4 linked regions of the Caenorhabditis elegans genome follow. The protein of the gene in region 1 purifies or fractionates together with the protein of each later gene. This does not show direct contact. Each region holds a gene or a part of one and is shown in the gene's direction. Other genes may lie near its edges. The genes, in order: psf-1, psf-3, sld-5 and psf-2.

Evidence for each region.
Region 2: the proteins of psf-1 (region 1) and psf-3 purify together in Caenorhabditis elegans (affinity purification with western blotting; 2 studies listed by BioGRID, with this or other methods). This does not show direct contact.
Region 3: the proteins of psf-1 (region 1) and sld-5 purify together in Caenorhabditis elegans (affinity purification with mass spectrometry; 2 studies listed by BioGRID, with this or other methods). This does not show direct contact.
Region 4: the proteins of psf-1 (region 1) and psf-2 purify together in Caenorhabditis elegans (affinity purification with mass spectrometry; 2 studies listed by BioGRID, with this or other methods). This does not show direct contact.

Annotation. Positions count from the first base shown.
Region 1 is NC_003280.10:9,967,013-9,971,170, forward strand, and holds psf-1 (putative DNA replication complex GINS protein PSF1), read left to right. Parts: upstream 1-1,660; 5' UTR 1,661-1,668; coding exon 1,669-1,767; intron 1,768-1,813; coding exon 1,814-1,878; intron 1,879-1,946; coding exon 1,947-2,022; intron 2,023-2,073; coding exon 2,074-2,163; intron 2,164-2,208; coding exon 2,209-2,418; intron 2,419-2,498; coding exon 2,499-2,564; 3' UTR 2,565-2,618; downstream 2,619-4,158. Other genes in the region: dtmk-1 (Thymidylate kinase), read right to left, coding at 27-69; R53.4 (Putative ATP synthase subunit f, mitochondrial), read right to left, coding at 464-565, 612-855, 920-1,035; R53.5 (Peroxiredoxin-like 2A), read right to left, coding at 2,681-2,802, 2,847-3,066, 3,111-3,242, 3,288-3,473.
Region 2 is NC_003279.8:531,419-535,844, forward strand, and holds psf-3 (DNA replication complex GINS protein PSF3), read left to right. Parts: upstream 1-3,036; 5' UTR 3,037-3,039; coding exon 3,040-3,151; intron 3,152-3,199; coding exon 3,200-3,306; intron 3,307-3,353; coding exon 3,354-3,552; intron 3,553-3,612; coding exon 3,613-3,776; 3' UTR 3,777-3,926; downstream 3,927-4,426. Other genes in the region: Y65B4BL.1 (uncharacterized protein), read left to right, coding at 372-467; dbd-1 (DB domain-containing protein), read left to right, coding at 530-1,135, 1,201-1,434; icd-2 (Nascent polypeptide-associated complex subunit alpha), read left to right, coding at 4,390-4,426.
Region 3 is NC_003283.11:20,233,626-20,239,783, reverse strand, and holds sld-5 (DNA replication complex GINS protein SLD5), read left to right. Parts: upstream 1-2,038; 5' UTR 2,039-2,057; coding exon 2,058-2,344; intron 2,345-3,331; coding exon 3,332-3,492; intron 3,493-4,283; coding exon 4,284-4,510; 3' UTR 4,511-4,979; downstream 4,980-6,158. Other genes in the region: Y113G7B.15 (Pept_C1 domain-containing protein), read left to right, coding at 5,941-6,158.
Region 4 is NC_003279.8:15,050,242-15,054,437, forward strand, and holds psf-2 (putative DNA replication complex GINS protein PSF2), read left to right. Parts: upstream 1-2,768; 5' UTR 2,769-2,783; coding exon 2,784-3,197; intron 3,198-3,248; coding exon 3,249-3,377; 3' UTR 3,378-3,431; downstream 3,432-4,196. Other genes in the region: bltp-2 (FMP27/BLTP2/Hobbit GFWDK motif-containing RBG unit domain-containing protein), read right to left, coding at 1-181, 392-438; zipt-1 (Zrt (ZRT), Irt- (IRT-) like Protein Transporter), read right to left, coding at 905-1,273, 1,373-1,704, 1,847-1,955, 2,033-2,179. UniProt on the Caenorhabditis elegans protein: Required for correct functioning of the GINS complex, a complex that plays an essential role in the initiation of DNA replication, and progression of DNA replication forks.

The DNA of each region.
Region 1 (4,158 bases):
CTTTAAAATTAAGCTAAATCAAATACCTTCGAATACAATCAGGAGCCCTCGTTTCTGATCAGTAGCCATAGGTGAAGAGATGAGGCTCTGGAAATAAGACAGCATGGAGAAATATAAAATAAAATAGAAACATGAAGACGCGCTTCTATAGAATCGGAACTTTAGATCTACAGATTCAAATCTAAAGATAAAGCCGACAGCGAAAAAATCCAGAAAATCGCATCGGCTATCTAACCTTCTTCTTAATATTTCTATTCAACCGATCCATACACTATTTATTCTCTCATAGAAAAAAGACACAAACGGACAAAATCGATAGGGGACTAAATTAACAGAAGACGTCTCGAGAATGAGATGAATTGGGGGAAAAAAGAATACGAAAAAATCGGATGGCTGTTTCGTCCTCCCCCAGCGACAGAGTTTGTATGTGGAGCTTTGAAGAGTAGACGAAATCGGATGGTGTCTACCAATGGTACATCGTCTTCTGGAAATCGACGTAACGGTGAGACTTGACGAGCCAATTGAGGAACGAGTAGGCGAAGATGAAGCGGAAGATTACCTTGACCTAAAAATAAAAAAAATTAGTATTTTTTTTTTAAATTTAAACGAACAGTGTTATTGTAGACTGGTCCTGAGTAATAGAGGTTGTGGACTCTCCAGATATTGCGCATGAACTCGTTGTAGAAGGCAGATGGGGTCTTCTCACGACGAGCCATCCAGGCTGGAAGATCTCCTAGCTTCACATCCATGAACTTGGTATCAAGCTTTCCGTAGTATCTCCAGTGGCAGTATGGTCCGTGAACGTTCTTGTTCCATCTCTTGTCGAACAATCCAACCTCGGTCTTGTTCAACACGCTAAAAATTATATCGGTTATTTTTGGAAAAGAATTTTATTCGTCGTTTTCAGACAATGACAAACCGGTTGTAGAAGAACACTCCGACACGCTCAACGGCGCGAGAGATCGGGATAAAGATCGCGTCCGGAACCCATGGTCTGAGTTGAGTGTGTGGTGGTGGAGGACGGAACCAGGCCATAACTGAAAATTCGAAGAATTAAAAAAATAAAAATAAACCAGATATTTAATTAAATAGTGAGAATCGAGTAACGATTAAGCCAAATAATCAATAAACAAGAAATTAATTAGAAAAACAACCAAAACAGGCATTTTGTTCAATTTAGCAAATATACACATGAATATCAGGAAGAATATACATTTAAAAAAGAACGTTCCAGCTCCAATAATCCTTAACTATGTGCTAAATATTGTTTTAAATATAAACATGTATTTTTGTAAACATTGATCATTATCGACCATGGGATTACGTTTCAGTAACGCCTAAAACGAATTTAACTCAGAATTTAGTGATATATTTGATTTTAGAAGAAATTAATTGAGTAAATAATGAAAAATCGTCAATATTCCACTTTTAAAAAATGCTTAAGAAAAATGTGTGCAGTTTTCAACGGGCGGCGATACATTTCGGCTAATCGCTGCGAGACCCATGGCCGTGGCCGAGTCTACAACTAGTTCACAAGAGCCGAAATGGTGGGAAAGTCGAGGACTTTAAATTTAATGTTTTTTATTTTCGAATTTAATATTTAAAATCAAGTATTTCCCTTTAAAATTTTATTTTTCAAATCAACTTTTAATTTTTGCAGTTCAAAAAATGAGTTCCGGCGATCAGAATCGAGGAGGCGTCGCCGACAAAGCACTACAACTTGTTTTAGAGATGAAAAGAAATCCAGATGTATTACCGCCTTATAACGTAAAATTATATCCTATTTTCTGCTTTAAATTTGAGTTCTTTTCAGACAGAACTTGTACGCCAATGTTATCAGAAAATCGATGAGTTGTTTCAAAAGAATGCTGCCGTCGTGTAAGTGATACATTTCGGAAGCGTACCGATTCGTTCGTGACTTCTTGATTTAAAATCATATTTTTCAGTGAAAAAATCCGTGCAGGACTCCCTCATGATTCTACGCTTCTTCAACCTCGTTTAGCTGCAATGTGCCATATTCGAGTAAGTCGAGAAGGTCGATTTTTGAAATATTGTAGTGGTTCAATTTTCCAGCGTTGCATGATGGCCTATGTGAACGAGAGGAAAAACAGGATTCGATCATTCAGATGGAAGTATGGAGGTGCTCTTCCCGCGTCTGTTAGGGTAATCGGTGCACATGATTAAAATTTGTCAACCATTATTTTTCAGAACGCCCTCTGCGATGCGGAAATTCAGTTTTTCAATGAGTATTCGAGCACATTGGCAAGATTCCAAAGCAATCTTGGAGAAGGTGGTGTTAATCTGCTGCTTCATTCTGCACCACCGAAGTCACTTTTTGTACAAGTTAGAGCTCTCGAGGATTATGGAGAATTTGAAACGTCAGATGGAACTCAAGTTCAGCTGTCCAAGGATAGTTTGGTAAGTCTTCGAATTTTTCTTTATTTGAAAAAAGAGAAATCCCGTTTTTAATTTTTTAAATAATGTATAACATTTTTCAGCACTCCCTTCCACGCCAAGACTGCGAAATGCTGATACGTCAGGGTGTTCTCGAGCTTGTTCATTGACTTGTTGTCGGTATTTTGTTTTCAACCTGTGATCTGTATAAATAGCTTCTTGTCAGTTTATTTTACAAAAAAAGTAGCCTCGTTTAATTAATTAAGAAAACACATAAGTTAAAAAATTATTTCGACTTCTCCGAGAATTTCTCGACGGCAGCACGAACTTCCTTGATATCGGCAGCATCTCCCCACTCCTTCTCCAAATGAGTGAACACGATGTCGTTGTTAGCAATCAAATAAACACCTGAACAATTATTATGAAAAAATAATTTTAATAATTTTTCGTACCTCCCAAAAGTCTTCCCTCTCCTTCCATGTTTCCCTCGACCTTGGCTTTCTTTGCTTTGTAAACATTCGAGTAAGTTCCGAAACGAAGAAATCCCATCCAAACTGGCAGCCAGCGTTCGTTTGGACCGTAGAAAGTGCGATCAGTGTCCAAATAGACATCACCGCCGGAGAACCAAGACTTGAACTCATTTGCTCCACGAGTCTCGTGCACAACGGCGGCCTGAAAGCAAAGTTTTAATTTTTCTATTTTGAAGGAGCGCTTACCAGTTCGATTCCTTTTTCCTTGAGCAACGGGAGCAGTGTGTGCAATTCAGCAGCTTCACGACGGCACAGCATACATCCCGGACGACGTACAGCCATCACCATGATCGGACCTTTCTTGAACAACGAGTCGGCCTGAAACTTCTCAAATAATTTTAATTTTAGAGTGAAAATGTTTACCGTAAACTGCTCATTTCTCTCCACAACTTCTTTTTCCTTCGGTCCACCACGAATTGGGACAAGTTTTGCGGCCGCCAAATGAGCAAAGGTTGGAGCAACAGCTCCGATTGTCAAATAAGTGGGAAGATTCGCGTAAACGAGAGCTCCGCCGAGAGCAGCGGCAGCTCCATAACCGAGAAATGCCATTTTCTGAAAGAAGAAGCTTTGGAAACTTGGAGTTATTCGAAAAAATGGTGACCACTTTGAAAATGCACATTAGAGACATTATTTTTGAATCGTCACAGCAAAATGAAATGCTCAGAAACTCGTAATTTAGTGAAATTCGCTATTACGGCCTTTTTTCAGTGTTTAGTTTTTTCTCAAATGAAAAGAAATTGAACTTAACATTTGGCTGACTAGTGAGTTCGTCGCGAGACCTATTCAGAATACTGTATGCGTCTTTAAAGTGAAGTGTTAAGTTTTGAAGTAATTATGATACAACTTTTTTTTCGTGGAAACTCAGTAAAAAATCGTCTAAAAATAAAAGAATAAAAAGAATTTCTGTTGGGAAAAGTTGTGTATGTGAAAAATGGTAAACAAGTTAGAGTGTAGTGTCTTATGGAAATAGTATGCAATTCTGAGAGAACGCATAGAAAAACGCTGATAAACACTTTTTGGTCGATGAGCTCTAGGCGTTCGAGTTTTTTTTTCTTCAAAAAACACCAGAAATCTCAATTAATCTGAATTAATCTGAAATATAAAATTTCTATGAACTTCAGATATCATTTTGTTCTGAAAATAATCACTCTACAACACATTGTTTTAAATACTCATTTGAAGAAGGAACAACTTCAGAATTCAAGAACAGTTGAAAATCGGGGGAAACATCAAT
Region 2 (4,426 bases), on another chromosome or scaffold:
CCGCGTGATGAAGAGTACTTTTATCCGAATTAAATCATAGGCAACGAAAACAAGAATCAGGTTCTTGTGCTTTGCACACCATGTCGGAATATCCGTCTCAATCAAAACGAAAAAAGCCTAAGCTGGACCAAGTGTTAAATGCTTAAATGCCAAAAATGAACAATCTTTCAAATCACTTTCATCTTCCTGTAAATCAGAGAATCCTGAAGCGCTGGCGCGCACACTTACGAAAAGTGAAAGCCGATATATCAAGTTTATCACCTAGCGGGACTTCCATTGTCTCATTGTCTCTTGGCTATCCGCCCCACTTTCCCCCCGGATCATCCGCCCCCTTTAATCCAAGACTCTCGAACAGTTTCGCTTCATTCCAGGACCGATTCGCATTCGGCAACAACAGCTCGTCGTCCTCATCAGCAGGCTGCTTTTCATCGAACAATTCGTCAGGCGGACTTTTTTCCAGTAAATAAGTTAATATGTGAGTTTTTTTTGTGTACATTTTCTTCTTTTCAAGATCCATTAACATTTCAGAATGCGATCGGCAGCCGGTATTCTTATTCTAATCTCAATAATTATTCCCAGTGTATATAGTGAACCGAAGTTGCCCGATTGCGAGCAAATACCAAAAGTCTTGTGCTGTACCCAACGTGTCTTAGATAAATGTATGTCTGGTTGTATCGATTATGTCACTGAGAAATGCCCCCACAAATTGGAAAAATACGAGACGATCGATGAAGAGCCATCGACGAGAGCTCCAAAGAAGCAGGTGAAGCCAGCTAAGGCAACTAGCAACAGAGTTGTCGGAGCAGTTGAAGTAGACCATGAAGCCAAGGAGCAGTTCATCGACTCCAAGGATATCAGAAGAGCACCACGAGTCGGTGATGCCAAGCTTCTCAGCCAGGAGTACCCGATCACCGAGGTCACCGACGCCGATCTCTCCTCCGAGTGCGGAACCGAGAAGTCTCAGCCACCATTCTCACCATGCTTGTCCCGCAAGTCGGCCGACGACGTCTTCCTCTCCTGCTGTCGCCAACAGGTTCCATCCAACTGTCACAGCCTCTGCACCTACGAGCATCGTGAGCATGTCGCCGCTGAAACTCTGATCCAGGCGATCCAGCAAGAGCACTGCGATATGAAGGTAAGAATAGTTCAATCTTCCTATTGAGTTTTTTTTTTGAGTTTTTCCAAAATTCATTCTTTCAGTACTTCTCCAAACTGCTCTACTGTGCCAACCAAAACCGCGACAACCGCGCGTGCTGCTCCAACCTCGGCATGTCAAACGCGGAACTCGGCGTCGGCGATCGTTGCCTACGTATGTGCAACATCTCCCCGTCGGGAGACCGTGTAAGCTCTATGGAGAAGGAGGATCTCGTCTGCCTGTCCAACTGGAACGTCATCATGTACTGTGCCAGAGGTGGTCTTCGTACCATCAACTAGACCATCATCCCCGTTCTCTTCTCCCGTAATAAGCTGGCTCAGGTTGTTAATAATAATTCGCCGCTCGTCTTAATAATTTTCCATTTTCCAATCTCGTCCCCCCTTTTCAACACTACCACATTTCTCAGTGATATTCATCTGAACCGCCCGACATACATCAGTTCCTCATAGTACCTAACAGGGTTCAACAAACCCATCCACACACCGTCCCCCCACGTAACACCCCCCCCCCCCCCACTTAAGGACCAAGTCCTAGTTACTGAATGTGCAACATTATGGCCAGAATGCAATACTTGTCCCATCTGAATCCATGTTATTTGATAATCTATGACAGTATTATACAACCCTTTTTTTTCAAAACACAAGCCCCCTTGAAAACGAACTCATTGTATGTCAAACGGTATCCCTTATTACACGATTAATTGTGGAGTTTGAAGCGAATAAATCAATCAATTTCTCGTTGGGTCCCACAGCGAAATGACTATTACCGGTACAGAGAGTGTGGATAGTTAGAGAGTGACAGACATCCGGGACCCAATGGGGCGGGGCGCGCGGAAGAGACGATTTGTGTCGATTTACGAAATGATGACAACGAGGAAAATTTCGTAAATCGACACAAATCGTCTCTTCCGCGCGCCCCGCCCCATCGGGTCCCGGATGTCTGTCGCTCTCTAACTATCTACACTCTCTGTACCGGTAATACTATTGCAGTAATCGCAGGTTATTTCATAGCGATTTTTCATAGCTTCACGGATTTCTGGATTCCCTCATAAATTGAAATGGAAGAGTTTTTGCTGAACTAGGCCATTTTGGCTCTGTCATATCTGGGGTAGATTTACGGCGCGTTGCGGTTCGATTTTAGTTGTAAAACTAAATGTATTTGTCCGTGTGGAGTACACGACTTTCTCACGCGTGGTCCGGCAGGCGATTATCAATAGAGCGCGAAAAATTCAATGAGGAAGGCCAGAACTCCGTGCAGCTTTACTCGCGAATTCAGGTGTGTGTTTTAATTGTCTTTATTCAGTTTTCTGATAATGAATATACTTTTTTACAGAAAAACTGGAAAACTGATAAAAAAGTCCCCAGAAACTAGATATTGAAATTACAGTACACTTTAAAGGCGCACACATTTTCACAGTAAACAAAAAATTTGTCGTGCCGAGATATTTCATCCAGATTATCAGTTGTTAAAATTTGACAACACTCATTTTGAATATTTAATGAATTCGAATGGAAAATAGAAGAAAGCTGCCAAAAAGTGAAATTAAATTCTCAAAAACTTGATTTCCAGACTTTTTTGGCGATTTTCGACCAATTTCAGCAGAATTTTTAGCAGAATTTTACAAATTTTTTTATTTTAAAGCTTATTTTAATAATTTTTCTCTGAAATATATGAATATCTTTGCTTTCGATGGATCTTCCTCAAAAGTAGACACACATTTTTATTTTTCTACAAAACTGTGCAAAGTTACGTCGTGGTGTTTGCGTACCTCGGCGGGAATTTAAAGAGAAATGGCATTTTTCACTTTTCTCGCAGTTTTTCTGATTTTTTTTTCGTTTTTTCGTAGTTTCCTAATAAAAAATCGTTCCAATTGTTTCCAGGTAATGGCTGGATTTGAAATTCAAAGAGTCGAGTCCAAATTCTTCGACTTGGACGACATAATCGCCAAGTCAGACTCCACGTCTTGCACATTTGAGATTGGAGATTTGAATCCAGGTCTGAAATCGCATCGAAAACCTAAAAATTCTAGTGATTTTTGTTCAGATTTCTTCCAGGAAATGCTGGGAGTTTCGAAGCCAACTCAAAATGCAGACGGATACGGCGTTGATGCTCCATACTGGCTGCTGGAATCCGTTAGAAGTTCATTTTCCGTGAGAATTTAGTTAGATTTGCCCCGAATTTTAATTGAGAATTCCAGATTCAACTGCCAAAAGCTTATAGTGTGAACATGCAAAATGTGCTGAACGCTGACAGCAAGAAATTGAATCTCTCCGGCTTGCAGCAACACTTTTACGGCAACGGGATGCAGTTATGCCGTCTGATGAAGGGCGAAAATCCGGACGGCGCGCTGAGCCTCGCACGATGCCTTGTCTCCACACTTACACAGCGATTAGGAGGTATTAATTAATATAATAAAGCACTTATAAAATACAATTTCTGGTTTTTTTTTGTTGCAGAAATTGTGTCAACTGCAACCCATCTGCAAAGCAAAGGCGAGAAATTTGACAGCCTCGAGACAAAAGTGTTCCTGGAGGGTAAACGGTGCAAAGAAGACATTGATACTTGGCTGAGACAAGACAATAAGTGCTCGAGCAAGAAGCGTAAGAGACTTTCGTTATAAACTTCAAATTTCTTATGCTTGAATCTAATTTTATTTTTTTTAATTCGTCTGTAAATATAATTCAAACCCACCATTCTGTAATAATATTTTATTTTCTATTTTTTCACACTCATTTTTGTGTTTTATTGGTGTAATAAACCTGGTTTCATGACTTTTTTGCAAGGAATTTTGTTGAAAAGGCTGCTGCAAAAACTTTGCCAGCAAAAAATTTTGTGCAAGCACGCTCCATCGCACAGTTTGAACGTCGCGGGTCGAAGTTAGATGTGCAGGTCATATAGCAAAAAGAGAAACACCCCTTTTTTTCTCGAGAAGTTTCACCAATTTTGCGCGATTTTTCAACTATTTTTTTGCTTTTTTGGCTTAATTTTGGCTCAGATTTTCCTCAAAAACATGAAAATCCAATCTAGAATAAGTAGTAATGGGTATATTCTAAGATTGTGCAAAAGTTAGCTTGAATTTCCTCGATTAAAGCTTTCCTACCAAGAAAAATGTGTGGATATTTTGAATTTACAAGTTTTTCATCTTTTTTTTGTAATATTCTCTTTGAAACTCCTGTTTCTCTCAAATTTGTAAACTTTCATAAACGTTTTTTTCAGGGTTACCACATTAAACAATGACCGGAAGCACCGAAACTCGCCAGAAGGAAGTCA
Region 3 (6,158 bases), on another chromosome or scaffold:
TTTTTTTTTGGAAATTTTTTGTGAAAAATCGCTGAATTTTTCTGATTTTTTTGCGAATTTTTTGGTATATTTTGGACATTTTTCAGATTTTTTTTCTCAAAATTTTTAGAAAATTCGCTGATTTTTTCCCAAAATTTATCCGAATTTTCTAAAATTTTCTGGATTTTTTCAAAAATTCCCTATTTTTTCAGATTTTTTGCGAATTTTTGAGCATTTTTTGGAAATTTTGTCCTCAAAATTTTCCATTTTTTCTCGAATTTTTTTTACAAAATTTTTCACTGAATTTTCCCAATTTTAATCCTATTTCCTCCGATCGCATTTTTTAAAATGTTTTACCACCCCCTTATATACATATTTACCCCCATTCTGTTTCCCCCGTAAAAAAACCACCAAAATGATCTTTTTTTCTCTCTCTGAAATATATATATATGTAACACCCCTCCGAACTCCACGCTGCTGGTATCTCCTTTTTTTCATGGTTTTTTTTAACGATTTTAATTTTAATTTATTCGTATCTTGTGCTATTTAACACCCCACCAACACATATTACTCTCTCTCTTTCTTTTTTTCTATTTATATGATGAAAACGCACACTTTTTCGACGAATTTTTGCATTTTTTTTTGTTGAAATTTTGCGGTTTTTTCCAATGATTTTTATATATTTTTTTTAAATCGGGATTTGAGGATTTTCAGATTTTTTTTTTGCTGTAAAAAACTAAAAGAAATTATATTTTTGGATATAAAATTTTAAAATTTGAAATTTAAAAGTGAAAAAAAAATTTCAAAAAAGTTTATTTTTGGTCCGAAAAAAATATATAAAAATATGAATTTTCCAGCAAAAATTATTTTTTCGAAATTTATTCAATTTTGATAGAAAAACTGAGAAAAAATTCCAAAAAATTGATTTTTCTGAAAATTTGGAAAAAATCGTTTTTTTTTTTTGCAAAAAAAAATGGAAAAATCAAATTTTTCGAATAAGTTTGAAATTTCCACTAAAAATATTTTTTTTACGAAAAAAAAACTTATTTGGTTCATAAAAACTTGAAATATATATATATATATAAATGTGAATTTTCCTGAAAAAAATTAATTTTCCACCTAAAAATTATATATTTTTTCAAATATAAAACTAAAAAACTCTATTTTCCAATTAAATTCAATTTTAATCGAAAAACTGGAAAAAAATTTCAAAAAATTGGTTTTTTTCTTTAGAAAAATCAATATTTATCTGAAAAATTGGAAAAAATCATTTTTTGCAAAAAAAAAATCAAATTTTTTGAATAAATATAAAATTTCCACTAAAAAATATTTTTTCCATAAAATACAAAAATTTAAAAAAATTTAATTTTCCAAATTTAAAACTCCGAAAAAATTTCCTTTTTTACAGGAAAAAACCCCGATTTTTATGATAAAACGTTTTTCACCCAAAAATCAATATTAGTCTGAAAAATTGAAAAAAAAAATTCAATTTTTACTGAAAAAAATTAACATTTCTCACTTTCCTTTAAAAATAATTAATTTTCCACAAAAAAAACCAAATTTTTTCAATTTTAGCACTAAAAATATTATTTTTCCAAAAAAAATTTAAAGTTCAAAAAATATATTTCCAGAGTTTCCATTTCCCAAAAAATACTAAATTTTGATAGAAAAACTGAGAAAAAAATTCCAAAAAAATTTGAAAAAATATTTTTTTTTGCCAAAAAACAAGGAGAAATCAAATTTTTCGAATAAATTAAAAATTTCCATTAAAAAACTATTTTTCCCATAAAAACTAAATAAAAATATATATAAATGTGAATTTTCCTGAAAAAAATCAAAATTTTTCAATTTTAGCACAAAAAAAAATTATTTTTCCAAAAAAATAATAAAAAAATTTTTTCAAAAATTAATTTTCACCTAAAAATGATGAATTTCTTCAAAAAAAAACATTTTTCCCAAAAAAATTTTTTTTTTCAATTTTGGCACTAAAAATATTATTTTTCCCAAAAAAAATTTTTTCAACTAAAAAAAAATTTAAATTAAAAAAATATATTTCCCCAGAATTTCCAAAAAAAAAAATGGCCGTCACCGACTCTGCAACAACCTTTTTGGATTTTGACGACGACGAATACGATGAGATGACTACACCGGAAGAAGTGCTCCGAAAAATGACAGCCACGTGGCAAAATGAGCTGTGTGCTCCGTGCCTTCTCCCAACTCAAATGGAACTTGTCGAAATCCTACTTGATCAGATTCAGGGAATGGAGGAAAATATTGGAAAACAAACGGATAAAATGCAGCTGAGAATCTCAGTTCATCGAGTCGAGCTTCAACGCATTGGGTTTATTACGTCGGATTATGTTAGGTGTGCGGCGGGAAAATGAGCCCCGAAAATGGAGAAAAGTAGCGAAAAACCACGAAAAATACGAAATTTCACGAAAAATAGTGAAAAAACGGAGAAAAATGGGAATTTTCGCTGAAAATTAGTTTAAAAACCGTCCAAAATGGAGAAAATCATGAAATACTGGAAATTTTCACTGAAAATTAATTAAAAAACGGAGAAAAATGGGAATTTTCACGGAAAATTAGTTAAAAAAACGGAGAAAAACGCGAATTCTCACGGAAAAATGGTCGAAAACCACGAAAAATGCAAAAATTCACTGAAAATTGATTAAAAATCGGCGAAAAATGCGATTTTTTGCAGAAAATTGATAAAAAATCACGAAAAATGCATTTTTTCGCTGAAAATTGATTAAAAATCGTCTAAATGGAGAAAATCATGAAATATTGCAAATTTTCACTGAAAATTAGTTAAAAATCGAGAAAACTTCACATTTAGAGTGACAATTAGCCGAAAATTCACGAAAAATGCGAATTTTCACGAAAAAATAGTGAAAAATCGGCGAAAAATGCGAATTTTAACTGAAAATTAATCAAAAATCGGCGAAAAATGCGAAATTTTGCTGAGAAAGTATCAAAAAATCGGAAAAACTTGGAAATTCAGCCGAAAATTAATCAAAAATCGAAAAAAAGCTATATTCTGCAGAAAAATTTGCAAAAATTGTCTAAAAATTTGTACAAAAATCGATTTTTTATGGAAAAAAAAATTGAAAAGCAGCGCAAATTTCGACGTTTTGGCGCTTTTTTGCCGAAAAAAAGGGCGAAAAATGAAAAAAATGGACCAAAAATTCATTAGCAGCGCCCAAAACTTGTAGTTTGTAGTGCCTGAAATTCAAAAACACGCTAAAATCCTCAATTTTCATCGAATTTTGCCCATTTTTTCACGAAAATTTCCAAAAAATTCCCAAATTTTCGTAGATTCTCACTAATTTTCTCGAACAATTTTCTGCAGATGCCGCCTCCAAAAAATCGAATCAAATCCACACGACGCAATCGATCAACACAAAAAACGAAAAGAAGAGGGAAAAAGTGATCTACTATCGGAATCTGAGATGAAATTCGCCGAAGAATATGCTCTAGCGGAGTCGAACCTTTTTCAGAAAACTGTCCTGGGTACGGCGGATGGATTTTTGGTTGAAAATTGCGATTTTTTATTGAAAAAATCGTAAAAATTGGCCAATTTTTCACTAGAAGCCTAATTTTTTTCTAATTTGAAAATTTTTTTGAAAATTCATGTATTTTTTTGTTACAATTTTGAAAAAAAAAATGTCAAAAAATTTTTTTTTTGATTTTTTGAATTTTGAAAGTTTTCCTTTCGAAACTTCAAATTTTTCTCTCAAAATTTGAATTTTTTTTGAATTTTTATTTATTTTGACCTAAAAAAAATTTTTTTTTTTGAATTTTCAAAAAAAAACAATTTTTTTGGTAAAATTGACCATAAAAATTCACAAATTTTAAGAAATTTTCAAATTTTAAAATTAATTTCAAAAAAATCGATTTTTTTTGGAATTTTCAAAAAAAAAATTTCCTTGGAAAAATTAAAATTTTGCAATTTGTTTTTTTTGTGGAAAATCAATAAAAATCTTATTTTTTGCATTTCAAAAGTTTCATTTTTAAGTTAAAAAAAAATTAAATTTAAAATTTTCGCTAAAATTTTAGAAAATTACCTCAAAAATTCAGAAAAATTTGCGTAAAAGCTCAGAAAATCTGGAAAATTTCGATTTTTTTTGCAGTTTTTTTTTCTCTCAAAAACTGCAAAATTTCGCTTAATGCCACGTGGCAATTTTTACAATTTTTTTTTCAAAATTTCAAAAAAAAAAAATTTCAAAATTCCCAAAAAAAAACTTTTTTTTTCAAAATTTCAAAAAAAAAAAAATTTCCCAAAAACTCTCAATTTTCTTCAGAATTCATGCCAGCAGCGCTTAAAAAGATGCCAGTTCCACGTGGCGATCATGATGACGTCATGGTTTACGCAAAAGTGACGTCAGATGACGTGGGCAACGTTGCGATTCCGGATTGGCAGGATTTGAATGGAGAAGTGATTTTGGAAATGGAACCGGAATCGTGTCATTTGATTCCGTTCGAATCGGTACATCAATTGGTTGAAGATGGAAATATTCAACTGATGTGAAGAAGAATTTTTTGATAATTTTTTCGGATTTTTTTGGAATTTTCATCATTTTTACCCCTAAAATCGTAAATTTAATCCATTTTTTTGTAATTTTCCCGAATTTTTCATCATTTTTTACCCCTGAAACCCCCTTTTTTTTTTTTTACATATGTCTACTTTAATTTGTCACTTTTTGCCAATTTTCTGTCAAAAAATGAGCATTTTCACTGAAATTTTGCGGTGATTTTTCGCCTGTTTTCTCCTCTTTGAATCTCAATTTTTCACTTTAAAATTATCAAATTTTGCTCAAAAACCTCATTATTCCATTTTTATGTTCCCCCAAAAAACTGGATTTTCACTTCAAAAATCGGGTTTTTTTCTCTTAAATTTTCATTTATTTTAGCTTTTTTAAACATAAAAACGAAGCTTACTCCATGTTTTTTCCTGAAAATAGACAAAAAAATTTGGTTTGATATAAATTTTCGATTTTTGAGCCAAAAAGTGAATAATTTAAAGTTTTTCTGCTCATAACATTGTTCAGCATGACCATAGCGCAAAACTGGTGAAATTTTTGGAACTTTCGTAAAATTTCAGGCTTAAAACACCTAAATTACGCGAATTTTGGAGCAGTTTGAAAACTTGGTCAAGTGGCTCAGGCGGGAAGAGAGAAGGCTATGGTTCGGAGGGTAACAGGTTCGAACCCCCGCTAGGGTCAATATTTTTTATATGTTTGAATTAGTATAGCCTAGTTGGTTTTGAGCAATTGCGAAGGGGAGGAAGGGTTTAAGGGAATTTTTTGAAAAAAATCGATAAAATGTGTTTTCTTTTGGTTTTTTGCCAATTTCTTGAAGTTTTCAGCGATTTTAGCATAAATTTCCAAATTCTGCAGAAAATTTAGACATTTTTTGACACCCATATTAACTTTTCAACTTTTTTTTTCGAATTTTGAGCCAAGAAATTGATCGATTTAAAGTTTTTTACTCATAACTCTGTTCAACATGAACGTAGATCAAAACTAGTTAAATTTCTGGAATTATCGTGAAATTCTGAGCCTAAAACAACTAAATTACGCGAATTTTGGAGCAGTTTGAAAACTGGGTCAAAGTGGCTCAGGCGGGAAGAGGTATGGTTATGTGCGGAGGGTCATAGGTTCGAACCCCCGCTAGGGTCAATATTTTTTTAATGTTTGAATTAGTATAGCTAAGTTGGTTTAGAACAATTGCGAAGGGTTTTGAGGGAATTAAAAAAAAAAAAAAACATTTTTTTTTAAATTTTTAGATTAAAAATTTTTTTTTTTTTGGAGAACTAAACTTTCAGGGCTCAGAGTAACACTGAAACAAGAACAATTTTTTTTCATATTTTATCATTTTATGTTACCTGTTACCTTGAACATGTTGATCGGCGTGATTCCACCTATAAAAACCAGCGAAAACCCCGTAAAAACCTGAAAAATGTTACTTTTCATAATTTCCCCCTTATTCCTACTCTCTCTATGCCAACCTACAGTAACCCAACACTCTCAGGAGGTACTGTCACATTTTAACAATTTCACGATGCACCATAAGAAACACTACCGTACCCCGGCGGAGAAAGACCGCCGGTTGGCTCATTTCGCGAAAAATCATCAGAAAATCCAGGAACTTAATGCGAAAGCAAGGAGAGAAGGACG
Region 4 (4,196 bases), on another chromosome or scaffold:
CAAAACACAAAAGCGTGTCGGATGAGCTCGATCCCTCGACAACGAGATTACGTCAATGTGAATGGAGAGCCACGAGATTTTGATGGTGACGTCACGCAACTGAACGAATCCCACACCTCCGATGCGAACATGAGATTTTGTAACGAATGAGAAGATCCACGATAGAATCACATCGATGTAGCTGGAAGTTTGTTATTTTAAACTAATGTTGCAGCCATAAATTTCTTTTTTTTAGATTCTCAAAAAAATTTACAGATTTCTTTTTTCCTTTTACTTTTCAAGAGAAATGAACTTTTTTTCATAGTTTTCTTTTGAAAACACAAAAAAAAAATCTGAAATGTACGTTTTTTTTAAAGTTCAAAACCCAAAAACTTGTAGCCTAGAAATTTACCTCAGAAAAATGAGAAAAACTGTCAGAAGGGAGAGAAGGACTATCATAGTGCGTCCGGCTGCATCTGTCTGAAATATCAGTTACTTTGAGAAAATTTTAAAAGAAAAAGGCATCACAACAACGAGAGCGTCTAGTGCTTAAAATAAAATTTGGAAAAAACGGCTAAAAGTTAAAGATAATAGTTATTCAATTTTTGAAATTAGAAAAACATGAGCTCTGTGAGTCTTAGGATTGTGGGTTTGGTACAACAAATGGGAGCTTTAAAGCCGTCGGGAATGTCAAATATTAAGTAATGGAATTGGGAAAATGAATGAAATACACAGGTCTATGGCGAGCTGGAACCCGGGATGAGAAAGTACAAGAAAATGTGTGATAGCGAAAAGATGGGACACAGAATGTACACAAAAATCGAGTAAAATTGCACAGAATTAGGAAAAAAAAACTAAAGCAGAGAAAATGCTACAAAATGTCAAAAATTAATCGAATTCCTGGAGAAAAAGAAATACAAATGTCCTAAGAAGCTTCGGGGAAAATCAAGATAAAAGCGACAACGATTGCAAATCCCATATAAATGAAGAACATCTTGAGAATTCGATATTTTCCATTATGCAATTCATGTGGAATCACTTCAAAAGTAGTAATATACAAGAATGTTCCACAGGCAATTGCTTGTAGAATTGATGAGACAATTGCAGCAAATGATTGTTCTCCTCCACTGATAAATTTCATGATTCCAATTCCAGCTAGACCACCAATCAATACTTGAACACTAAAAAGGAATTGTGCAAGTGCAATCCATGGAGTTGTTAGATTTGCTTGAACTAGACGAACTCCAAGGCAGAAGCCCATTATGCATTTGTGAAGTATTAGCGCTCCGAAGATCTGCAAAATAAATTAAAAAAAAAAAACATTTTTTGTTTTAAATTCTAATTTTAATTTTAAAAATGAAGAAAATAGTAGTTTTAAGGTAGCCGGCAGAACCTGAAGCAACTGAGAAGCATCTGACGTGACAGCTAACGAGAGTCCCTCGAACAGAGCATGAACAGAGAGTGCCAATACTAGCATGGCAACTCCAATACTCGATTGGGCGGCAGCTTCGTCTCCTTCTTCTTGTGATTCACCATCTTCAGATCTTTGATGCTCATGATTATGACTATGAATATGGTATCCAACATGTCCGAATACATTTCGGTCTTTCGCCGCTTTGACAACCTGATCAATTGTGAGAACCAATAGAAATCCGACTGCTACAAATGCCAACGGAACTGGGAACTCCGTTGCAATCTTGGTCTTCTCGAAGGATTCTATTGAGTCTGCAAAATGTTTCAGGTTTTCTACTACATTTTAGCGAGTGTATTGCCAAAATGGGATTTTTGGCGAATATTCTTCAAAATTTGGACTAAAATAGCATTTCTCTGATGTTTTTTTTTTTTTGCAAAATTTTCCACTTCTCACCTGGAAGCAAATCAAGAAGGCAGGCGCCTAGAAAAACTCCACCACCGATGCACGAGATGAACGAGAGAATATGGCTCCGCGCCCATTCTCCTTTTAGAAACGTGGCTATCTGAAAGTTGACGAAATTTTCAAAATGAAATGTGATCACATCACATGCGAACATGACAAAAAAAAGTTTTGGCTCACCATTCCGGCTGCAAACGTGAGCGCGAACAGAACGATGAGCAATACGGCGCGGAGTGCATCCTTCGGTTCTGCCCGTTCTCCATGCTCTTCCCATACGTTTTTTAGAAATAACCGTGCAGTTAAACGAGAAACAATTCGTCCGAACATCTTAAATTTTGGAGTACTCAGCAATTTTCGTAGAAGGTAGCGAGAAAAAGAGAAAAATGGATGGAAAGTTAGAATTTTTGTGTGGTAATATTTTTGAAATATTTGTAAGAAGAATATTTAAATGTTTTTTGAAAAAAATAAATCAGTTTGCCGAGAGAAAATCAATAAATCGCGAGCCTTTTCGAGACATGAACGCTCGATTTGCTCAAACACTTCTCTGGCGCTCTCCACTCTCTCGCACGTGCAATTGTAGCGCGTTTGCTGATAGTTTTGTGAACTAAGAACGCGAGAATATCGGGCGTGGTCTTACTAATATTTTATAGAATGTTTGATTTTATCTGCCGAAATTTGTAACTATTAACGTTTTCTAATTGAAAAAATTCAAAATTTTTCAAGTATCCATTTTTATAGCGTTTTTTTTTGTGTATTTTTAAGATTTTATTTCACAAATCTGAGTTCTATGGAATACTTTCCCATCAGAAGTGTAAGGCCTCAATATCGGAGGGGTTTTAGAAATTTTTAAAATAAGTTATTCTTCTCAATTTATATTTTCTTTTCTTAATTTATATTTTCAATTGAAAAACTATTATTTTCAGATCAAAAAATGAATGCAGAACGTTGCGAGTTCATCGCCGGAAACTCGCTTATTGAAGTGATCCCCTCAATTTCCGATGACCGGCCGATTCACCTGATTTCCGGCGATATTGGTCCATTTGAGGCAGGCGTACCCTGTCGGATTCCAGTTTGGACAGCGATTTTGATGAAACGAAAACACAATTGCAAGGTGGTGGCTCCTCAATGGATGGATGTAGATGAGCTGAAGAAGATATTGACGTCAGAGACTGAAAGCCAAGGATTGGCGAAATTACCGGATCATTTCTTTGAAATCTCGCATATGCTTGTTCGAGATGCCCGTGAGGATATATTCGAAGTTGAAGCTGTCAAATCATTGGTTCAGGACATTTATGATCGGAGGGACGCAAAACTTCGAAGCTCAGCGATCGAATTCTTGAGACAGGTTGGCAAAAATTATTGAAAATATTTCTAATCCAATTCTTAACAATTCCAGAACCAAACCTGCCACGCTCAATTGGACAACGTTCAGCTGATTGAAGCATCGTCCGCTCGTGCCACTTTGGAGGCCTGTCGTCAGATGGGAGCTGTCGTCCGTAATAAACACGAATCAACACCTTTATAGTGTTTTATTCCTATATATACACTTATTTTTCACAATTAAAACAATTACAATTTCATTGCTGTCTCAAACAGAAAAAAAGTACCCGAATTTAAGACAAATCCTGACAAATTCTCGAAATGAATAACACAGAAAATTTGGAGATCTCAAGGGAAATGGTGTTGATAGATTATTTCTACTAGTTTGTCAGTGGTGCATGCGGTTGGCGTTTTCCTCGACGTGGCAATGACTTGTTGAACGTTCCATCAGATGGAAAAACTGCATATCCTTTTCGCTCACGAGGACTGAAGAAACTTGGAATTAAATTTTGAAAAGCGATGGCGTGGCGAACCTTTTTTTATCGGTGAACGCAGTTGGCGCCTTAATTCGACTTCTAAACGCTTGAGCTACTTCCTCTGGAGAATCCACGTGGGTTGTTGAAGCAACCTTCAGCGGTTTTTTCTTCCGCATCGAGGAGTTCAGCATAATCGGGACATATGAAGGCCGGGGAGCAGATTTTTCAAAAGCTGGAATAAAATTAAATTGTTTAGAAAAAAAAACACTTTGAATAAGCATTGATCTTGGATGTTGTCTTTTATAAAACGTGTGTACAGTGCATTTTTTGGTACTTATGAGTTTCGTTCCCCCCAAAATGATTTCCATATTTTCTAATTGAGACGTGAACTTTTTTTCATTCTCAGGCTTAGGGAAATGATTTTCTAAGCCAAAAAATGAAAACAGTATTAAAATAAACATTCACGTGTGGATTAAAATTAAAAAGGTAGTGTTAAATAATTTAAAATCATTTTGGGGGAACGAAACCCATAAGCACCCTTTTTTTTT